Linked DNA regions of Mus musculus. The protein of the gene in region 1 interacts with the protein of each later gene in a pairwise test. Links are inferred from orthologs where the notes say so. Each region holds a gene or a part of one and is shown in the gene's direction. Other genes may lie near its edges.

The links.
Region 2: the proteins of Arrb1 (region 1) and Gnmt interact in binary tests that used the Homo sapiens proteins (3 or more experiments, as listed by UniProt). The link is inferred for Mus musculus from reciprocal best matches to the Homo sapiens genes ARRB1 and GNMT.
Region 3: the proteins of Arrb1 (region 1) and Mapk9 interact in binary tests that used the Homo sapiens proteins (3 or more experiments, as listed by UniProt). The link is inferred for Mus musculus from reciprocal best matches to the Homo sapiens genes ARRB1 and MAPK9.

Annotation. Positions count from the first base shown.
Region 1 is NC_000073.6:99,589,157-99,596,344, forward strand, and holds part of Arrb1 (beta-arrestin-1), read left to right. Parts: intron 1-494; coding exon 495-562; intron 563-2,106; coding exon 2,107-2,242; intron 2,243-3,347; coding exon 3,348-3,432; intron 3,433-3,833; coding exon 3,834-3,906; intron 3,907-5,464; coding exon 5,465-5,602; intron 5,603-6,866; coding exon 6,867-6,950; intron 6,951-7,188. UniProt on the Homo sapiens protein: Functions in regulating agonist-mediated G-protein coupled receptor (GPCR) signaling by mediating both receptor desensitization and resensitization processes.
Region 2 is NC_000083.6:46,724,610-46,732,551, reverse strand, and holds Gnmt (glycine N-methyltransferase), read left to right. Parts: upstream 1-3,386; 5' UTR 3,387-3,400; coding exon 3,401-3,606; intron 3,607-5,159; coding exon 5,160-5,287; intron 5,288-5,835; coding exon 5,836-5,946; intron 5,947-6,140; coding exon 6,141-6,283; intron 6,284-6,369; coding exon 6,370-6,491; intron 6,492-6,580; coding exon 6,581-6,752; 3' UTR 6,753-6,888; downstream 6,889-7,942. Other genes in the region: Pex6 (peroxisome assembly factor 2), read right to left, coding at 7,228-7,364, 7,588-7,727, 7,848-7,925. UniProt on the Homo sapiens protein: Catalyzes the methylation of glycine by using S-adenosylmethionine (AdoMet) to form N-methylglycine (sarcosine) with the concomitant production of S-adenosylhomocysteine (AdoHcy), a reaction regulated by the binding of 5-methyltetrahydrofolate.
Region 3 is NC_000077.6:49,843,593-49,851,450, forward strand, and holds the start of Mapk9 (mitogen-activated protein kinase 9), read left to right. Parts: upstream 1-3,158; 5' UTR 3,159-3,383; intron 3,384-7,858. UniProt on the Homo sapiens protein: Serine/threonine-protein kinase involved in various processes such as cell proliferation, differentiation, migration, transformation and programmed cell death.

The DNA of each region.
Region 1 (7,188 bases):
ATTCTGAGCACCTACACATGGCCTCACACAGGCCCTGGTAACTTTGAATTTTACAGAGGGCATAGCTGAAGCTTAGAAAGGGGTGGAAGGAGCAGGTCCCAGCCCCCAGACTCCACTCTCTCATCTGCAAAGCAGAGGCAATGAGCATACGCCTTCACGTTGTTAGAGAGTTAGGGGGGTTCTGTGACACTCAGCACAGGGTCGTCATGTTGCTGGTGGCTGTCTTGAGAACAACCACCCAGACTGAAGCTGGAGTCTCAAATGGGATTGGGGTTGGCTGGTGGGCTCACAGGAGCCCTCCAGTGGAAGGAGCTGGGCCAGGGGCAGCGTGGAGACAAAGTGAACATTGGGTACCAGGGTTTCAGATTCATGACAAGGAGTCCTCAGGTGGGAGAAGCTTGTGTTTTCACCCAGAATTCTAATTTGTAAGGTGGGAGGGTGGTTGGGGACCTTGCCTCCCCAATGCCATGGGGTCAGCATGTCCTTCTCCACAGGCCTGTGGTGTGGATTATGAAGTCAAAGCCTTCTGTGCTGAGAACCTGGAGGAGAAGATCCACAAAAGGTAGGCAGGATACTGGTGGGAGAAGGGAGGAAGGACAATGAGGGGAGTCGAAGGAGTCGCAGTGAGGAGAGGCTTTGCTGTGAGAAGGGTCTAGAAGTCTGTCAGGTGATGGCGAGCTTCCTGGAGGAGGTGAGCCAGGCTTCTCTCACATCCCTACCTCTCTCTGCCTTACCCCTGCAGCCTGTTGATATTAGAAAGACCCCCAACTTCAGTTAACTTTCAACAGTGGGTAGTTGGGAGGCCCTCAGCAGGAGTGAAGCCTGTGTTTGTGGACAGATCTGAACAGGGGACAGAAGTGGAGGAAGGTGAACATAGAGGGGACTCAGTGTGGCTCAGAGTGTGCTCAGCATGGCTCAGAGAGCCAACATTTTCCCATAGTGCTTGGCAGACAGGGGGGACAAAGCTTCTGGTCCTGACTTCTCATGGCTGCCCTTCCTGGGGGTCCTGGGATTCAGACCTCCTGCCTCCTGGCCTTCACCTGGCTATGATGCCCTTGCATCCTAAGTCAGCCGCTGAGGGGTGCTCACCAGCTCTTTAGGGATGACTTTGCCACCTGGTGGCGACTAGGAGTATCACAAGCATTTTCATCTGTTGTGTGGTTGTTCTTGTATGGGGGAGACAAGAAAGACTCTTCTCTCTTGTGTCTGTCCCCTTAAGATCTGTGACAAAGGAGACCTAATGGCGTTATGGGATATGAGAGGGATTTTGAGCAGAATAATGAACAGCAGGAAACACTGAGAGTCACCACCCTCACCCTCTCCCAATGGGGCATCTTAAGTCTACTCCCAAGATTCACTAGTCATAATGATACAATAGCTGTCAGTTCTCAAAGGCTTAGTTAGTTCCGGTCATGTTCACAGTAATGGACAGATGTGGTTTAACCTTCCCCGGGGTCCTGAGGGCTAAGTGCTGTTGTCATTGTTTCACAAATGAGAAAACTGATGCACAGGGAGGTAATTTCCCCAGGTCATACTCACCAGCTCAGTCCGTCTTTGCTTCTACCCTAAGCCTTGTGACCTCCACTGAACCCCTCTCACTTGTGAGTCTCACTGAGTCACCTCTTCACTCTCCTGCACCTCTTGGCTGAATCAACATCCCATAATGACCCCCCCACCTCCACCTCCCACAAGGGCCTGTCAGTTCTGCATGCTTCCACATAGCAGATAAGGCTGCCAGGCAGCAGGTACTGGCCCGTGTGCTGAGACCGTGGTAGTGAACCAGCTGGGCAAGAAGTTCCCATCCTCCAGCGGCTTACACTATTAGGAGACACGGGGAACACAAAGTAAAAAATAGGCCCTTTCTTACCATCATGCTGGGGACTGGGACACGCAGACCCAAATGAAGTGCTGTTGTCGGGTGGCTCAGGGACAGAATTGAGGAGGCTGGGGCTGAGTCACATGGTGACAAACCCTCCTGCTCAACCTCTGTGATCAGTGGGCAATGGGGAGCTACAGTAGACTCTTGAACAGGAGAGGGGTCTAGGTATTACAGAGAAGAGAGTGGAGGCTGGTGACTCTGTCTTTCTCCCCATGCATCTTCCTTAGGAACTCTGTGCGGCTAGTCATCCGGAAGGTTCAGTATGCCCCTGAGAGACCTGGCCCTCAGCCCACGGCTGAGACTACCAGACAGTTCCTTATGTCAGACAAGCCCCTACACCTTGAGGCATCACTGGATAAGGAGGTAAGAGGCCCAGACACCACTGTCCTCAGCTCTACTATCCCTCAGGTCCCAGTGTCTCTGGACTGTCCTTGAGGGTTTGGGGAATCCTGTTGGGGTCCAAAGGACTGGCAGAGGTGGGCATGTGCACCTATGGAACAGGAGCAATGGAAGGGTCCTGGCCATTCCTCCTTACACTCTTATAATTGCCTGTTTCAAACTGGAGGGAGAACCCCAGCTAATCAGCAGGGTGGTGATGGGGAACAGGACTCAGGGTCTCCTTGCTATTACCCTTATCAGTGAGCTAGAAGGTGAAAAGTTCTTGAAGTCAGGTGACTCTGAGCCAGCTGACTGGGGTATGGGTATGTCCCTCCTTCTTGGGGTAGCTAAAGACAAGAGCCTGGACAAGGTGGTCCCTGAGAATTCCGAGCAGGTCCTCCAGTAGCTGGTTAGCCTTTCCTCTCTTTCTCTGAGTCTTCTAGAGTTTAATGTGTCTGTGAACCCAGACCATCAGAGCCCACAGGAACTTGAGACCTTACTCTGTTCAAGCCTGCACATAGGATAAAGGAGAAACAGCATCTCACTTAACCTGTCCAAGGTTATGCAATGGTTGTCACCATCATTGCTATTATTGCTGTCTTAGCTGGTGGTCAGAATGAGACTGGAGCCGAAGATGTCAGCTTCATTTTCCTATGTGTGTATGTGTGAGTGTGCATGGGTGGGTGGGTGTGTGTGTACATCTGGAGGACAGCCTTGGAGGTATTATTCTCAGGAGTGCCATCCCCCTCCTTTGAGGCAGTCTCTCATTGGCCTGGAGCTTACTAACTCGGCTAGACTCTGTGGGCACCGAGCCTCAGGGATCCTCTTGTCTCTGCCTCCCTAGTGCTGGGATTACAAGATCAAACTCAGGTCCTCGTGTTTGCAACACAAGTACTTGACTGGCAGAGCAGTCCCCCGAGTTCAGGAATGTCATCTTCTAATACAGATATCTTTGAAAGGTCCCACAGTGGTACTGAAGGTCCATATGCTTGGTAGTTTTGTGACACTTTTATCTCAGTGGGAAGTGGCTGGTGAGCTGGGGGCAGAGTTCAGTGTCCCTGTCCATGCTCTCCTGTCATCTGCCTCACAGATCTATTACCACGGAGAACCCATCAGCGTTAATGTCCACGTCACCAACAACACCAACAAGACTGTGAAGAAGATCAAGATCTCGGGTAGCTGGGGATCCTACCGAGGGTTGGGATAGCTGCAGGTGTGGCCTTTGTTAAAAGCCTGAGATGATACCATTAGTAGCTTTGGAAGCTTGGGTCTGCTGTCAGCCTACAGTGGCTTCAAAGCTGTAGGCACTTGGGGCAGTGGGTTTACCGCTTTGCATGCCCCTTCATAGGCTTTCTGGGCCCTGGACAAGCTGTTCTGGGAGGAAAGATTTGGTCATGGAAGGGACTGGGTTTTGATGGGGTTTTCTGTGTGGGTGGAGTCTGGGGTGGTGGCCTCTGATAAATGCTGGTCGTTGTCTCAATCTAAGCAAGCACACCTACTACAGGGAACTTGAGGGCTATCTTGAGAGGTACCCCCTGACTCATGTACCCACCTCCCCTGCTCCCTCTTTCCCCAGTGCGCCAGTATGCAGACATCTGTCTCTTCAACACAGCTCAGTACAAGTGCCCAGTGGCCATGGAGGAGGCTGAGTAAGTGTGTCTGAAGCCGACTTTGGACAGGTGGGACTAGACAGGACAAAGGGGAGCTCTGAGTCCAGGCCCAGGCATCTCTTCTCAACCTGCAGAGAGATGTCCTGGGGTAGGACTCATGTGGCATGTGCCTTTATGTGCTGAGTAGCCTCACTGGCTTCTGTTTCGGTCTTTGAGTCCAGGTCTCACTTTGAGACCAGGCTGGCCTGAAACTCAGAGCCTGAGCTTACTTGGAATCAGGGCAATCCTTCTACTTTAGCCTTCCAAGCGCTGACGTTATAGGTGTGAGCAACTGCACCTGCCACTTTGACATGGTTTCTAATATTCTAGAGATGGAGCTGTTATTACTAAACCAAATATTCTTGCATTATTGGATATTCTCAAATTCACTGTTGATTAAGAATAAAACCTACAGCCATGAGACATAGACTTCTGGTGAGTGTTGGGGGGTACGTTGAATGACCCAGAGCCAGGAGAGCATTTAACCCCAAGTGGAACATAGTCATAGCCATAGTCTGTCACATATTTGCATCTGCAGTCTGGAGAAAGGGTAGCTGCCTGGGCTTCCAGTAAGCATTCCTGTGGGGTTGGGCTTGGGGTTGAGATGTGGCCGGCTCTGCTCCCTTCAAGAGGCAAATTTAGGTCTTATTCCAGGACTGTCCCAGTGTCAGGTGCACGCATCTGCCTCATCTTTGAGAAGGGAGATGGGGGATAAAATAGCACCAGCCAAAGGGAACAACAGAGGTTCCTGTGCATGACTGATAGATACACATTGCAGCAAGTAAAGTTTCAATGGTAGAACCTAGGTGGGGGCTTCCAGGCATTTACTCATGGTTTGTATGCCCACTTTTGAACATAAACGTGGGCTGGAGAGATGGCTGAGCAGTTAGGAGCACGTGCTGTTCTTCCTCCAAAGGACCAGGGTTCATTTTCCAGTACCCACACCAGGCTGCTCACAGCAGCTTGTAAGTCTAGTTCTAGGGGATATGATGCGCTCTTCTGGCCAATGAGGGCACTTGCATGTGAGTGGTGCACAGACAGTCATGGAGGCACACACACACACACACACACACACACACAAATTAAAAACTTAATCATTAAATAAAAACTAAAAATAAATGTGTGGGCTAGAGAGATGGCTCAGTGGTTAAGAACACCGACTGCTCTTCCAGAGGTCCTGATTTCAGTTCCCAGCAACCACATGGTGACTCATGACCATGGAATGGGATCCAATGCCCTTTTCTTGTATGTCTGAAGATAGGGACAGTGTACTCATATACATAAAATAAATAATCTTTTTTAAAAGTGTGCTATTTAAGTGTGCATGGTGACCATGCCTAGTTTAGGATTAGTCCTGCTTGTGTGTGGTGGGCCTCTCCTCTTTCCCATGGCAGTGGGCTTGCTGCTTGAGCTGGGCTCAGCCCAAGTGGTTGCCTGCATCTGGGAGATAAGGGTTGCTGGCAGAGGGCGTTGTGGAACAGGGCCAGTCCAGGCGTCTTGGCTGGGTTAGGGCTGGCTGTGATAAGAGTCATCTTCATGCTGCCTCTCTACTTCCCAGTGACAATGTGGCACCCAGCTCAACATTCTGCAAGGTCTATACGCTGACTCCCTTCCTGGCCAACAACCGAGAGAAGCGGGGACTCGCCCTCGACGGGAAGCTCAAGCATGAGGACACGAATCTGGCTTCCAGCACGCTGTGAGTGAGAGCCCGCCCCTAAGACCCAGATGCTATGAGTGAGAGCCCGCCCCTAAGACCCAGATGCTGTGAGTCCCAGGCCCCCCGGTGCCCTCTCCACGACGGGGCCCCACCCTCTTGGCCCACCACCATGAGGATGAGGTTTAGGCTCTTGCCCAAGTCTTGACTAGGGCCAGTCCCCTGGAGTGTGGCTACCCAGGGAGGATCTCTTTCTACTCCTACCCACCCAGCCAAAGACTACCGGGTCCCATCATTTGCCTCTGGGGGACACAACCAGAAAAGCTTTCTTTAAGAATTGGCAGCTCTTAGCCCAAAGTCCTGAATACAGACTGGGGTGTGTCCCTGATGCTGTCAGGGTTGGAGGGGAGAGAATCGCTTCTAGAAGAGTACTGGAAGGAGATAAATGGGGGCTTGGAGAGGCTGGGGAAAAGAGGGGAACTGGGTATAGATATGGGGGTCCTTCCACATGAGGCACCATTAGGCCATTTGGTCCATGGGCATCACTGAGCCTTCAGGGTTGTCCCACCCTAGAAGAGTTCAGACAGTTGTGGGGGGACTTTCATTCCCTCTGATGATATCTGGCTCTCTGCAAGGGATTTGGTCTTTGTCTGTTGATTCCGAGACCACGCTCCCCACTCTCAGACTTGGCTCAGGCTAGACAATCACATTATCACCCCTCATAGGCCTCCCATTTACCAACAAGCTCTTTGTCCTCCTTTTACTCTGACTTGTACCTGATCTGCCCTCAACACCCCACCACCAGGTATCTACTTAGCATATCCTTCCCATGTTACCCTGACTCCCAGCTACCCTTGGCTTCTCAGCTCTCAGTGTGGCTCTTTCTGCTTGTGGGTTACCGAGCATAAGCAGTGTGAGAGAAGTAAGTGGTGGGAGGGCGGTTAGGGCCTGTTCTCACGGCACTGTGTGGCACTGGTGAGGCAGGGAGGAGAGTCCACTAGGGCTACAGAACAAGGACATCTTATCGCTAGATGTGGAACCCAAGGAACTAGGGTCATAGCTCAGTGGTAGAGCGCTTGCCCATCAGGCATGAGACTGTGGATTTAATCTCCAGTACCACAAAGAGGGACATAAACAGAATCCAGGCCTACAAGTGCCAGTGCACTGGGCTCAGCTCCCTTTCCTAACTGTTGGACCTGGAGGCTCAGGAGATGGATGGACAGTGGTGCCTCCCAACATATGCCAATGCCTACCACATTCCGCCCACCAAGGAGCCCCAAGGTCCAGCTTCCCCGTCTTCCTGCAGGTTGCGGGAAGGTGCCAACCGTGAAATCCTGGGCATCATCGTTTCCTACAAAGTCAAGGTGAAACTGGTGGTGTCCCGGGGCGGGTAAGTCCAGCTGTCCCAGAACCCCTGCTCGTCCCACCTGCTTGCTTGGCCTTTAGCTGCATCTTCTCATTGAGGAGGCGAGACTTAAGGACTTGCTTTTCTCTCCCCTCCTCTGATTTCTTCTCCACTGGCTGGAGCGCCTCCTCTCCTCCATCTCTATCCCTCTCTCCTGCTCCTTAGCCTAGGCCCGAGTCTGGCTCTGGGGACTGGGTACAGCCTATATGAATCTGGGTGTCCT
Region 2 (7,942 bases), on another chromosome or scaffold:
TAAAGAAGAGAATGAAAAAACAAGTCTAGCCTGTGGAGGTATAGCTCAGTGGTACAGGGCTCAGCACTCAGGTTAAGCCTGAGACACTGGGTCCAGCGACGTCCTCACCCCCAACATCACTAAATAACCTTCCAACCCTCACAAAGGCGTTTTACTGGGGGGCGAAGCTTTTGCTTTCCTGGGAAGAAAGTCGGGGTTGCTGCTTCCTTTGGAGAAGATGAGTCTTGTTTTGAGGCAGTGTCTCACTCAGTAATCTAGGCTAGCCTGGAACTTTCCTCCGTGACGCCAGCAGTGCTTTCAGAGTCTGTGGAACTCCTCCTATCCTGGCCTGTCAACATGCCCACCATGTCCAGGCTAATTCCCTTCCCTTCCCTTCCCTTTCCCTTTCCCTTTTTTCCCTTTTCCCTTTTCCCTTTTCCCTTTTCCCTTTTCCCTTTTCCATTTTCCCTTTTCCCTTTTCCATTTTCCATTTTCCCTTTTCCCCTTCCTTTCCCTTTCCCTCTTTCCTTTCCTGATTTTGGGGTGGTTCTCACTCTGTTGCACTGGCTGGCCTGGGAACTCCGGAGCTCCCATGATTTCCTGCCTCGGCTTCCTCCGTAATTGAGACTCCGTAGTGTATGCCAGGAGTCTGTCACGGGTATCTAAGCTGGGCATAGTGGCTCACACCTATGACCCCAGCCTCCTGGAAGCTGAGGCAGGAGGCTTGCTTTCAAAACTAAACCTTATAGTAGTACCAGGACGGCCAGAGCTACATAATAAGACTGTCTAGACAGTGCCTCTCAACCCTTTGAGGTCACGTGTCAAAATCCTGCATATCAGATATTTACATTATGATTCATAACAGGAGCAAAGTTACAGGTTTGAAGTAGCAAGGGGATAGTTTTATGGTTGGGGGTCACTGCGACAGGAAGAACCGTATCATGAAGTATCACAGCATTAGAAAGGTTGAGAATCACGGGTCAGCAAGATGGCTCAAACGGCAAAGGAGCTTGCTGCCAAGCCTATGACCTGAGTGTGGTTTCTGGAACCAATATGGGAGGAGAGAAGGGAGTCTTGCGTGCTGTGTGCTTTTTTCTGAACATACATTTTTTGTTGTTGTTATTGCTTGGGGGGGTTATTTATTTATTTATTTATTATATGTAAATACACTGTAGCTATCTTCAGACACTCCAGAAGAGGGCATCAGATTTCATTATGTTGTGAGCCACCATGTGGTTGCTGGGATTTGAACTCAGGACCTTAGGAAGAGCAGTCAGCGCTCTTAACCACTGAGCCATCTCACCATTCCCTTGGGGCTTTGTTTGTTTGTTTGTTTGTTTTTTGAGACAGGGTTTCCCTGTATAGTCTTGGGTGTCCTGTTGTTGTTGCTTTTTGAGTCAAGGTTTCTACATTGCCCTGGCTGTCCAGGAACTCACAGAGATCCAACTGCCTCTGCCTCCTGAGTGCTGACATTAAAGACATACATTTAGCTAGATGGTGGCGCTTTGTCTGTAATCCCGGCAACTCAGGAGGCAGAGACAGTTGGATCTCTGTGAGTTCAAGGCCAGCCAAGACTATACAGAGAAACCTTGTCTCAAAAAACAAACAAACAAACAAAATGCACCACCATGCCTGGTTCCCCAGTTTTAAAAACCCTAAGTAAATAAAAGATACCACTTAAGATGCTGAGATGAGATTTGAAAAAAGTCTAGGATTGATAGGTTTACCCCCAAAATGCTTTGATACGTGGCATTGGATTTACTTGAAATTCCCAAATACAGTTTCTCCTCTCTGCTTTGTCTCCACAGGGACTGATGTAGCCCAGATTTGCCTTGAAGTCTATGTACCCTAGAATATCTTTGAACTCCAGCTTTTCTGTTCTCAGCTGCCAAGTATAGGACTTACAGGCACACACCATCACACTCAGCCTCGAGAATCTTTCTGAGCATAGTGTCAGAGGCCTGTGTGTAGGGACATTGAGTCCCCAAGACTGAGCCTGGTCAGAACCATTTGAGATTGGCGCTGTGCTAACAAAAGTTAAAAAATATGGGCTGGAGAGATAGGTCAGCCATTAAAAGCCCTATCTGCAGCTAGGGTCGTAGCGCACGCTTTTAGCCCTAGCCCTTGGGAGGCAGAGGCAGTCGGATCTCTGAGTTCGAGGCCAGCCTGGTTTACAGAGTGAATTCTAGGACAGCCAGAGAAACCCTTTCTCACAAAAACCAAACCAAACCAAACAAACCACTTGGTCCTCTGTGGGGTTCAGTGTCCTCAGCACCACCGAGTGGCTCCCCACTGTCTACAACTGCAGGTTCAGGGTATCTGAAGCTCTCGATTCTGGGCTCCACGGGCGTCAGACACATACTGACATCTATGAAGTCAAAACAGCCATACCTACTATAAGAAGGTTAAGTCACACAACTGTGGGCCTCCTTCCATCTCCAGGGTTCACCCTGCATTGGGAAGGCGAAGGGAGGGCGGGCGGGCGGGCGGGCGGGATGCTCCCTGTCTTCTCTCTTCTTTCCACGTAACGAGTGTTCACAGAGTTGGAAGTGTGTGGGCAGGCAGGGCAGGCGGGGCAGGCTTCTCGTCGCTCACACGCATCTTCCAGAGCCGACTTTAGCCCGGCTGGGATCTTGTCCTTGGTGGGGTAAAAAGGGTGAGCGGGTAACACGAAACGGACCCTCAGGTTATACAGTGACGCTAGCCCGAGCGGGCGCCATGAGCACCTTCCCTGCCGACCCCCAACTTTCCTCTCTGAAGGTGCTCCCATGGAAAGCAGATGGAAGGCTTGCTATGTCTCCCACATTGTTCACTAATTCATTGAGCACTAATAATCCTCCTGTCTCACCTTACTACACCCAGCCTTTAAGAGATTGCAGAGTATAAAGCCCATGGATTGGAAGGCCCAGGCTACCTTAGGAGGCTCCTGGCTGGTATGGGGGAGGGGAAGAGAGACACGCCTATCTCCAGGTGTACTCTTGTACTTGGATGGGCATCTTTCTCAAAGACTGTTCATAATGTCCCGACACAGTGGCTCTCTTTAGCGGAGTGTTCCCTCCACTAAATGATAAGCAGTGTTGTGTAGACACTGTGCTGGGCTGGGCATGTAATAATTCTGTTTTGGGTGGATTTCAGGCTTCTTCCCCTTCCTCCTTGGGTAGGGGTGGAGTGATCTCTCATTGCTTTACTTTGTGAGTTCCTCCCGGCCACCCTGGCGAGTCCTATCTGACCTGTCTTACTAAGCCAGGTCCAGGATTGCTGTGCTGAGCCATCCTCAAGGCAGAGGCAGCAAGCCTGGCTCTGGGCCCAGGGCCCAGCAGGGGCGTGTCCCTGCTCTCACCTGCCATTGGCCAGGTGGGACTGCCTTGCCAGAGGATTATAAGTGCGGATCGCGTGGCCTGAGAGCCAGGCGCCGGTCAGGATGGTGGACAGCGTGTACCGTACCCGCTCCCTGGGGGTGGCGGCCGAAGGGCTCCCGGACCAGTATGCAGATGGGGAGGCCGCACGTGTGTGGCAGCTGTACATCGGGGACACCCGCAGCCGTACCGCAGAGTACAAGGCGTGGTTGCTTGGGCTGTTGCGCCAGCACGGGTGCCACAGGGTGCTGGACGTAGCCTGTGGCACAGGGTGAGTCCAAACGGGCCGGCCTGCTTAGGCCAGTCTGGGCAGCCTCTGCGGGCTGGAGCCTGGCAGGCAGTACTAGGGGGTCAAGAGCCCTTGCTCATCAGGGTAGTATGGGCATGGGAGAGCATCTGCCGAAACAGTGCGGGAAGGGGCCAGGGTGTGCGCAGAGAAGGATTCATGGGACAGAGCAAAATCCGAGCTTTGGGTCAAGGTGGATCCTTGGCTCCGGCGCTGTTCCTCCTGCGATTGGCCTCTGGCAGTGTGAACAGAACATTTGTAGCACGTTTGCACAGCCAAGTGCTGTGCCAGGAGTTTGGGTACGTGTGTTGCAAGCTGTAACAAAACCCCACGAGGTGAGCAGCGCTTTTCTCCAACCAGTAGTACTAAAGAAAAAGTCATTTCCAAGAGGTAAAAGGCCCCCATTTGGTGGAGAGGATACAGACCAGGATAGTGTCTGGCCCACACTCCCGACTCAGCCCAGAACTCACGGACACCTCTGACTGAGATATTTCCAGGAGCACCAGTATGCCAGGTTCTCAAGTGCACTTTTGTAGAATGCCTGACTATGATTTAAAAACAAAAACAACAACAAAAAGCCATTGAGCCGGTGAGATGGTCCGACTACTAAGAGCCCCTTAGGCTCTGGCAGAAGACAGGCTCTCAGTGCCTAGCATCTGCATCAGGTGGCTCATAATCGCCTGGAATTCCGTTCCAGGGGGAGGTTAGCGCTCCCTTCTGGCCGTGGAGGGCACTGTACTCACATGTACTACACATACAGACATAATTAAAAATAAAAAAAAATGTGTTGATGTCAGGAGTAGTGGCACATATATTTAATCCCAGCACTCAGGGAGTCCTAAATAGGTGGCTCTCTGTGAGTTCCAGGCCCTGCAGGGCTACATTAGGAGACCCTGTTTCTAATAAGAGGCAGCTGGGGAGATGGCACATGTTCTTACAGAGGACCCAAATTTGGTGCCCAGCACCCTCTCTGGGGTCTGCAGACACAAGGTATGCACATGATGCACATATTCAGGCACGACACATGAAATTAAATTTTGAAAAAAAATTTTTTTGAAACAGAGTCTCTCTTTGTAGCCCCAGCTGTCTTGGAACTCACTGTTTAAACCAGGCTAAAAAAAAAACAAAAAACAAAAAAAAAAAAACTCTCAAAAAATTTTTTTGCTACTTGATAAGGAAAATTCTTTTTTTTTTTTTTTTAAGATTTATTTATTATTATATGTAAGTACACTGTAGCTGTCTTCAGACACCAGAAGAGGGAGTCAGATCTTGTTACGGATGGTTGTGAGCCACCATGTGGTTGCTGGGATTTGAACTCTGGACCTTCAGAAGAGCAGTCGGGTGCTCTTACCCACTGAGCCATCTCACCAGCCCCCAGGAAAATTCTTAATGGGTCACTTGAGACCAGTAGAGATGGCCTGGGACAGGAAGCAGAGGAACGGACTCTGGAATGTTATGTCTGGGGAAATGTCACACACATTTGGCCTCCCAGGCTCCTCTGACTGGTCCTCTAGTCCCCCGTTTCTGACCTCATCCAGAGTGGACTCCATCATGCTGGTGGAAGAGGGCTTCAGCGTGATGAGCGTGGACGCCAGCGACAAGATGCTGAAATATGCGCTTAAGGAGCGCTGGAACCGGAGGAAAGAGCCATCCTTTGACAATTGGGGTAAGTCTGTCTGTCCAGGCCCCCCCAGACATGCACCTCCAGGGTCACTCTCTGCCCTGGCTCTCTCTTGCTGTGGAGCTGAATGGTTTTTCCTCAGGGCACGGTACAGTCCCTGTCAACTTCCTAAAAAGGAAGGCTTTGGCATCAGAGTAGGATTCCGGCTGGTAAGAGCAAGTTTGTTGTATTTATGGTGCTAGGCATTGAACTTGGGCATGCCAAGTAGACCCTTGATCACTGGGCTGCATTACCAGCGGTTTTTATGCTTTTCCCGTGTTGCCTGGCTTGGCTAAGCTAGATTTAAGTGATGCTCCTGTCTAACAGAGTCTAGAGGTGTACGTCAAGTCACTGGGCCCTACAGAGCTACTTTTAACTGTCTTATCACATCCTGTCTCTCCTCCCTACAAAAGCCCCTAAGTGGAGGGCTGGCTTTGCCAACTGTGGCTCTCTCCATCCCTAATGAGTCCCCATGTGTCTCTGGGAGGAGGTGGTTGCTTCTGTGCTGTGCTATAATTCTCGACTCCCCCCCCAACCCCTGCCCTGGCCTCCAGTCATTGAAGAAGCCAACTGGTTGACGCTGGACAAAGATGTGCTTTCAGGAGATGGCTTTGATGCTGTCATCTGCCTTGGGAACAGTTTTGCTCACTTGCCAGACTGCAAAGGTAAGCTGGTGGCCTTGGCTGTGGCTCTTGCCTTGAGCTCCCCCACGTCCGAAGATGGCTGGCCTGCTGCCCTGATAAGGCAGACCTGCATTTTGCCTGTCTTCTTTAGTGCTGGCACTTGGGAGGGAGACAGGGGCGGGAGGTGGTGCTGGAGGCCTAAGCAGATGGTGTCTGTGGCCCTGCCGGGAACCCAGGTGACCAGAGCGAGCACCGGCTGGCACTAAAGAACATTGCAAGCATGGTGCGGCCCGGGGGCCTGCTGGTGATCGACCACCGCAACTACGACTATATCCTCAGCACAGGCTGTGCGCCCCCGGGGAAGAACATCTACTATAAGGTTGGGCTGCCCCCCAATGGGAAGCGGGAGCTGGAGGGCCAGAAGCCCCGTGGTGGCTCAGGGAATGACGCAACCCATGCCCTCAGAGTGACCTGACCAAGGACATTACGACGTCAGTACTGACAGTCAACAACAAAGCCCACATGGTAACCCTGGACTACACAGTGCAGGTGCCAGGCACTGGCAGAGATGGCTCTCCTGGCTTCAGGTATGACGTGGTTTGGCAGGAGAGAGGTGGTGGTGGTGGGGAGACCTGAGGCCAGCAGCCCTCATATCTGGCTGGGGGCCCTGTTGCAGTAAGTTCCGGCTCTCTTACTACCCACACTGTTTGGCGTCTTTCACGGAGTTGGTGCGAGCAGCCTTTGGGGGCAGGTGCCAGCACAGCGTCCTGGGTGACTTCAAGCCCTACAAGCCTGGCCAGGCCTACGTTCCCTGCTACTTCATCCATGTGCTCAAGAAGACAGACTGAGTTTCTCCGGCTCCCAGAAGCCCATGCTCAGGCAATGGCCCCTACCCTAAGACCATCCCCTAATGCAGATATTGCATTTGGGTGCAGATGTGGGGGTCGGGCAAACGGAGTAAACAATACAGTCTGCATTCTCCAAGCCTGTGCCTGGTGTTTCTTCAGAAGTAACGTGTTTTTATGGTGTTCCCCCCCCCAATCCCCCCTCAAGACCTCAGCCTCCCATAACCTTGCCTTTTGCACCGCAACCTCTCACAAGACCAGTAGGAGGCAGTATACACTTTATTTTCTACTCCAGAACTAGTGTCTCCGCACAGGTCACAGGCTGCCAAGCCCCTAGCTGCCAGCCCTGCCTCTCCTCCTGAGCACTAGGGGCCCCCACTAGGGCTCACAAGGGATCTCTGGGAGGAGGCAGCCTTCAGGCGACAGGCGGGAGGTACCTTCAGTCAGGGGGCATAGGCAGAGGGCAGGCAGGCAGCTCCTAGCAGGCGGCAAACTTGCGTTGGATGCGCTTGTATCGCAACAGCTCCTGCTCACTGACTGAGGGCTGCAGCCGGGCTGCAGCCTGCAACAGGTCCTCCATGGTGAGCAGCAGTGCTGAGCTCCGCAGCTCTAGCCCTAAGGGGTGGAAAGGAAGACTAAGGCCAGAGCCCCAGCCCTAGCTGAAGTACAGAGGCTGCAGTCTATGCCTAGGTAGGAGAGCCACTCCCGGGGGGGGGGGGGGGGGACGGGACGGGACGACGACGACGACACCCCCTGCTCAGCCATTCCTCTGGAATTCAGGGCCAGGACTGTCTCCCTAGCTTTATGGTTCCCATCCAGGGCTGGCAGGTGGGCTCACCTTCCTCTAGGTCTCGAACCCTGCGTTTGAGGGCAGTCATCATGGCGTCAGAGCAGAGAGAATAGAGATCTGCACCAGTCAGCTGGGGTGGGCAGCAATCCAGCACGTTTGCCAGGCTCACAGAGGCCTCCAGCTTGAACCTATCACACCCACACCAGGGATGTTAAAGCTGGCCTCACCTCCTCCCTCAGAAGTCATGCTGACTCGCACACATCCCCTAACTGTCTAAGCCCCCACCCCAGCTCTCCGACTACGCATACTTCCGTGTGATGGCGCTCAGCACACGCAGCTGGGAGGCCCGGTCCTCACTCGCCCCTACAAACACCAGCTTGTCAAATCTTCAGAGAGACAGAGA
Region 3 (7,858 bases), on another chromosome or scaffold:
ATTCTTGTTATCCTAGCACCCCAAGCCCAGGACTCATGCCTCCTGATGCTTGCGTGGTATGTACAGTGGACTTTCAGCTCAATCCAAAATTGCTGTACTATTTTGCAAAATATACCCACCAGCCGAGCATGAGTTCCACCTGCTTCATGTCACCGTCAACACTTGATATTAAGTTTTAGTGCATGATTCCTACTGGTTATGTAGTGATAGCTCATTGCAGATTGATTTATATCCCCCTACAGTCTTGAAGCAATTTAAAAATCAATTCTTTCCTCTTGGCACCTGCTACCATAGATAGCCCCAACCCATGCTTCAGTTTCTCAAAATGGCCTTTGCTGTAGCTCTCAACTGGTCTTGTCGTCTTAGCCCGCCATTCTTCAAATCTTACAAGTCTTAGTGAGCTTTCTAAAATGCACGTTGAATCACATCACTTAGCTCCTTGCTTACCACCCGTAACGGCTGCCCTTTACCTTACAGCCAGATTTCCAGCCTATCATGCTGCAAAGACAGATAGGTAAGGGCCACAGGAAGAATAGGGTGAAGGAAAACTGGGGCTTTACCTGTAGGGGTATCTTCCACCCAGTTTCTCAGGACCACAGCCCTTTGTGAAGAGAACCCAACAATGGAGTTGTTGCTTTTGTTTTGGAATCCCTTTCAGTTTTAAATGATGAAGAGGTGGCACAAAAGCAACCATTTACCCATTTGTCTAAATAAGGCAGAGCAATAAACAAGGCGGCCTATGTGCCCATCAGCCCATGGTCACCAACGCCACTCTGTCCCCAAAGGCCGCATCACTCCAATCTCCTTACCTACCACTCCTGCCAGTACAGGTGGCTGTGGTTCTGTGGACACAGCACACATGCCCCTCCCCGTTCTGAGTCCCTCCTCCTTCTGAGCACTTGGCCCAAATGTGTTTCAAAGTCTCAGACCCAGCCCTTTGCTTTGTTTTCCAGCCTCGGTAAGAACTTCCTTCTGCCAAAAGTTCTTCCACTGTTCCTCCCAGCCCGGCCACTGTGACCAGGCGTCAGTGTCCATGTATGGAGCCCACGACACAACACACTGTTGGCGGGATCTTTGCACTTAGAGGCTTCGCCCAGGATTCTGTGCACTCATTCAAAGCACGGACTCCCGCCATTCCACCCCACCCTGTCATTTCACCTCAGTATGTTCACCATTATTTTGAAAAAAAAAAGAACAAAGAGCAGCGTCTGTAGAAAAAAACAGAATCTGAATGGGAAACTTACTGGGTAAACATACCCATGATGATTTGTGGTTACTTACTTTGCATTGAGTTGGCTATAACACCAGTCTTGGATGTCTAGGGATTCTAATCTGAGGGGAAGCACTCATTAGTGTTCTTCAGGGAAACTGCAACAATGGTAGCCAGGCTGTGCTGGTTTTTAATAATGCCAACTGCTGGCTCTGTTTTCTTTGGAGCTTCTAAAGCAGTGACGGGAAGAGCCGAGGTGAGGACAGGTGTGGACAGAAGCTCACAAAAAGAACCTTTCTCAAAGCAGCACACTCAGGAACTAGGAGAATTTTGAGCAGGAATAAACCATACTCCCCCTGGTGGCCAGCATGGGGGTGGCCAAAGGAGGACTCTGCTAGTTGGGCTTGGTCAACTCGATTTAGTCCTATCTGGGAAGAGAGACTTTTAACTGAGACAATGCCTCCCTAAGATTGGTCTGTAATAAAGTTTGTGGGGACATTTTCTTCACAAATGATTGATGTGGGAGGGCCTAGCACACTGGAGGCAGTTCCATCCCTGACCTAGTGAGCTGCGTTCCCCCACTTCCTCTGCTTTGGTTCCTGCCTTGAGTTTCCTACTTCCTTTAACGATGGAGTGTGACCTCAGAGTTCTAATCCAAAATAAACCCTCTCCTCCCCGAAGTGCTTTCTGGTCATTGTGCCTTGTCACACCAATATAAAAGCAGAATAGGACAGAGACACTGTGATTGTCTGGATCCCCTTCTCGACCCTACTGCTCCTCTGAGCCTCCACCACCCTAGTTCAGTGCTTGAAACCAGAGTCACAGCTCTCTTCAAATTCTGCGGAGATTCATGGGGCCTCCTAGTCTCTTGATCTTCCTATACGCAGAGTCCTTCTCCCTGGCTCCTCCTTGGCATCTTGTGACTACAGCTCTACCACCATAGACACCACTTGTCAACTACTGTCTCCATTTTTCCAATCCCTTATTGACCAGTCCTCAGCCTAACCTGTTCGTAGCTTCCCTCAGTGTGTTCAACGTCCCTGTCTCACTTGCAGCCTCTCTATCAAAACACAGAGTAGTCAGAATCCCAAATTCTGAGTTTTCCAAACATCTGATTCACCTCAGACCTTCTGGAACCTACTTGAGAGCCAGAGGTCTGCAGAAGCGTCAACAAAAGCAGCAGTGTTAAAGACCCACTGTCTAGAAGCCCTTCAGCACTGGACGGACACCCTCCTCACCCCTCTACACCAAAGCAGAAACTTGTCTCTTATAAGAGGCCTCTTTAGGCTATACCCGTCACTGACTCATCAGGGTCATGGTCACCGTCTCCCCAACCCCCACCTTCTGGACATCTGGCCGCACCCCTGTTATGATCCCATTCAGTGTGGCATCTGCCTTAGTGAAAAACAAACCCCAAGGCCCCGCGGCTTGTCCTGGTTCTTCCTCCGGGGCCGTTGTACTCCAGGTTCCCAGGCTTCAAGTCCTTGATCATGCCCAGAACTCTTGTCTAACCCGGCTGTCTTTAGTCCTTTTCCAAGTCGCCTCTCCATTTGCACCTGCTACAACCGAGGCCTGACAATGGCTCCTACACTGTAGTCGCAAAGTCACGCCTCGCCCCTCCCCGGCTCTGGCTCCCCTTGGCCCACCCTCTCCGGCGCATGCGGGTCTCCTGGCCCTGGAGGGCGGGCTCAGGAGACGGTCCTAGCTTGACCTGGATCCCTAACTCTGTGCACACTGGCGGACGCTCTTCCAGCAAGCAGACGGTCAGACGGCGAGCCGCCTAGGGGGCGCCACTCTGCACTAGGGCATCCAGAGCGCGCCACTGGCCCCGCCCACACCCAGCCTCCAGCCACGCCCGTACTGCCCAGCCTTGCCCACCCCCAGTCTCAATTGGTCCCGCCTGTCTGGATATCCTAGTTCTGATTGGCTGGCCTAAGAATCCGTCAGACTGAGCGCCGCGGCGGCGGCGGCGGCGGTGGCAGCAGCGGAGCAGAAGGGAACCGGACCGGAAGGGTCGCAGCGCCCCGCGCCCCTCACACCCACTGCGACGGCGACGGGGCGGAGCAGAGCGGGGCGGGGCGACCGGGTCCAGGTCGTGGAGCTGGGTGCCGCCAGAACGCATCGCCGCCAGCGTGCCCTCCCTCTGCCTCCGGCGCGGCGGCGCGGAGCCGAGGTGAGCCGGGCGGGCGGCTAGGCCTGGCGGGGCTGCTCGGGCCACGCAGGGCCTGGGGTGCGGGGCTCAGGGGGTGGACTGCTCGGTACTGCCCGGCTATCCACGGTTCCGCGGTCGTTCTCTCCCGCCTGGTGTGTGCAGCCCCAGGGCTGCAGGCCGGCTGTCTGGCCGGGCCCCAGCAGACCTGCCCGCAGGGATCTGTGGGCGCCTTTCCTCCAGCTGTGAGGCACGTCGCTGCACCCCGCTGCATGCCCTGGAGCCTGAGCTCTGGTCCCCGCGACCTTGGCGGTGACTGCGACCCTCACTGGCCCTCTGCTTTCCCCTCGGGAGTAATGGTAGAATGTCTAGGGTTTGGTCGGGGTTGTTAACGGGCAGTGTAACTGTCTCAAAGCGTTAGGGCAGAGAAGCCTAAGGCGCACATTTGAGAGCATCTGAGTGGGTAAATAAATGCTCCCTTGCTGATGTGAGTGTCGTAGGAACTCCCCCTCATCCGCTTAGAGTCCTCCCCCACTTCTGCCCCCCCTCCCGAGCCTTGTCATTCATCTTCAGTGCCCAGCAAAGCCAGAGTGGGCCCTGCCCACCTCCTCCGCCACTCCTTCCCCTCTTAACAGAAGCAGATCTCTGCTCTCCTATCCTAAGCTCACCTGCCTTGGGCATGCCAAAATCATTTATTTACCTCAGGACCTTTGCACTTCGATTTCTCTATGTTCAGAGTTGTCTATAAGATTTTTACCCAGCTGTCTTCTCTCACATCGCTTCCTCCTGTGGTTCAGTGTCTTGTTATAGGCGAGGCCTACCTAGCTTGACCACCCTTTTCCCTCGCTTAGTCATTCTCGCTCATCAGTTTCTTTAATTTTCCATCCAGTACCTACTCTGGATTGATGCTATCTGATTTATTGCCCCGTCCTTTTTGTATAGCATGGTGAGTACAGGTAGTTGTTTCATCTGTAAAGTCAGATCAGTGAATGAACAGTAAGACCATCCCTGCCTATTATTATCTCTGCTTTGTCCATTTTGTTGGTGACTTTAACTTGTGAAACTTGTAAGCAAACAGACGCTGATTCTCACTTTGTGAAATATTTTCATGTTTTTAATCTCTTTCTAGTAGCTGTCAGAACAATTTGTGATAAAAAAAATACGTTTTGGTAAGAGTTTTGCTCTGGCTTCCTTCCACACATTCAGGAGTTATCTACTGGATTCTGTATTATCTAGGTCATGCTTTCTGCTGGGCTCTGGGGACACAAAGGAGATAGCAACAGGGTACCGTCCCCCAGAGAGTCCAGGAGCCCCATAGAGCAGACTGGCATGCACACAGTTCTAGGACAGGATATGACACCAGCTATAGTGAAGGGTCTGTGCCCTAGAAATGGAGGGTGTGGGGTGGGGGTGCTGGAGGGCCTTGAGCAGGGACAGACAGAAAGTGAAAGGGCAAGATCAACAAGGAACTCTGCTCAGTCTGGAGCCAAGAATCAGCCCTCCAGGGCAAGTGTGGGGCTTTATGGGGTGCTGGAGACCCCAGAGCTCCAGAACTTGGTTCAGCAATTTTTGTAAAAGCCAGGATTCCAAGTTTGTATCTGGACTCTGATATGTCAGTGTTGGCAATAGCTAATTAAAACTAGCTATTTGGTGCCAAGCCAAAATGCGGACCTCATGCAGCACTGCTAACCTCCTGAGCAGGCAGTGTGGGAGGGAGAAGCATGGAGGAGCAGGAACTGTAGCCTGAGGCCAGAGGAGCTAGGCCCTGTTCCCCAGATACCAGCCAGGCACTCATTTGAGTGTGGCTGGCACACTGGGTTCCACAGAGGAAGAAACGGAGGCTCAGTGCTTCAGCAGTTTGCTTCAGCGCAGGCAGCCAGTGAGAACTCGAACCCAGATTGCCCTCAATCTAAGGTTCTCAGCTCTATTTGTGTTTGGTTTTCGATTTGTTCTGGAAGAACAATAGCCAATCTATAAATGTTTCTCTCCTCCCTTTCAGAAGAGTCCTGCATAGTTAAAAATAATTGTCGTTTTTGGGGCATAATCTCTGGAGAGCTTTGGTTTTCCTGAGGTTTTAATTTGCAGGGTCTCGGGACTTTATAATTACTTGTTAACGGATACTTTGCTGTGTCCTTTATGAATGGTCAAAGGTATACTTGGATTTGTCAGTTTCAAATGGAAAAATAAGTCTTAACCTTCTGTACAAATCAAAATGCCAAACAAAGTAATTATTAATGAGTTACTAATTTTTAAAAGCTTATAAGATAAAACAAAAATCTGATCTTAAAAGAAAACTATAAACTTGTCAGTAGGCTGCTATATTTGTCTACATACAAAGTTATCTTTCACACCTGGCTAAGAAGGTGGCAATTTTATTAAAAAATAATTATTAATGGTTTATACTTGACCTCTGTGTGAATTGATTTCAATAGCAGTCTGTTAGTTGTTTATGATGGGGACTTTCAAATTTGTTAAAAAAAAATAAACAGCCTAGTATCAGTGTCTACAGGTTTCAACTCTGACAGTCTTGTTCCATCCCTGACCTTAGATCCTTGACATCCCATTGTTCTGTCCATGAACTTTTTAGTCTATGTCCCTAAAAGACAGGGCCTCTCTTAAACTTTTAAAAGCAGTAATTCTTTCATAGCATCAAGTAACCAGTCAAAACTCAAATTCCTAGGTGTCTTGTGTATCTTACAGTTTCTGTAATCACTTGAAAGTAGAGTCAAGTTTTTGTTGTGATTATTGGTCTTTTCAGTTCTCTGTTTGTTTTTATGTTTTATTTTATGGTGTTTGTTTTGTGGGTTGTTTGTTTGTTTTTTTTTCTTTCAGATATGACTTCATACTCATTATGAGTGAATGGCCCAGGCTGGCCTCAAATCCATGGCAATCCTCCTGTTTCAGCTTCCCATGTGCTAGAATTATAGTCAAAAGGCACCACACTCAGCTAGATGTCTTCAGTGTGTTGCTTTTCCTGCTTCTCTTCTGTTTTCCTTGTAGTTCACTTGTAGAAGCAGCTGGTGGTTCTGGAGTGTCTCCATGGTTGGGTTTTACAGATGCCATCTCTGCAGTATGATATAGAGTTTCTGTCTCCTGAGACATACGAGGTGAATCTAGGTGACACCCACTGAGATTGAGGGTGGACTCAAGCCATGGTGCCTTCTCAGCTGAGCCGGACTCACAGCTAGAGGCGTCCTGAAGTTCTGTGCTCATCAATGTCTTACAGATGAGGGTAGCTGCTTGGCACTGGATAAGTAACTGTTCCACAAGGAACCTGGCTTGAGACCTGACCTTAACCTTCCATACTGCCTTCCCACACTTATCCTTTTACTAAGCTTTGCTTTAAACTGACAATGCCTGGGCTGAACAATGGGCCAGGGTTCAGAAATTAGCCAGGTACAGCCTCTACCACTGAGGAGCTTGGAGCAGAGCTTTCTACACAGAATGGAAGGAGAGCTTGGTGCTGTTTAAAGGGATAGGCCGAGTAAGGAACCTTGCATGAAAAGTAGGTCCTTGAAGAGTAGAAGGGACAGGGACATCAGCTAAGGCAGATGGAGCCGCTGAGCAGAAGTCTGCAGGTGTGTCTGGTATCCAAGAGCGGGCCAGAGGGCTTGCTGTCTGCCCTTGTGCTAAGGACGGCTCATCAAGCTCTCAGAGTCACTGATGAAAGCATTCAGACAGGAAAAGGGTGGAATCGCTGTGTATTTTCACCAGATCTCCTTTTAAAATTTCTTATTGTGGAACAGTTACAGATCTTCAAGAAGCTGCGAAATCCCGTCTATTTTTTACCCAGTTTTCTCCATCGATTGTATATTTATATAACTCCAGTACAGAATCATAACAGGAAGTTAGGCATTGCTACAGTATGTGTACAATTCAGTATCGTTTTCTCATGTGCAGATTCCTGAACCACCATTGCCACCACAGGATACGGAAACCTATTACCATCCCCACGGTCTCCCCTACTGCCCCTTTGTAGCTGCCTAACTCACCAGCTTCCACTAAGCATATTCCCTGGCTATGCAGTGGCAAATAGGATTCCATGCTTCTGCCTAACAATCCCTTAGAACAGTTGCTCTTACTACATCTTCTACCTATGGTTAGTTGAATTTAAAGACTTGAGAATCCATGAATATGGAGAGCTACCAAATCAGTGCTGCGGCTTTTTTCAGTGCTGACTAATATTCCACAGTCTAGGTATGTAGCCATGGATATTTGTGCTATTTCTAGTTTTGATCTGTCACAGAACTGTTCTGAGCATCTGTGGCTGGTCCTTATGTGGGCAGATAGCTCTCAGCTAAGGGGCTTGGTACCTGAAAACAGGGCTAGCAGGGAAAAATTTGCCAGGCATTAAGTGTTGAGGGTGAGCACCATGTTTTGCATCGAGTACATACTGTAATAAATGAACAGAACTTCAGAAAGGAGGCCCTGCAAGGCTGCTCCAAGGCTCTTAAATATCAAATGGATACGTTTGCCTAACTACAACGCAGCATCAAGTC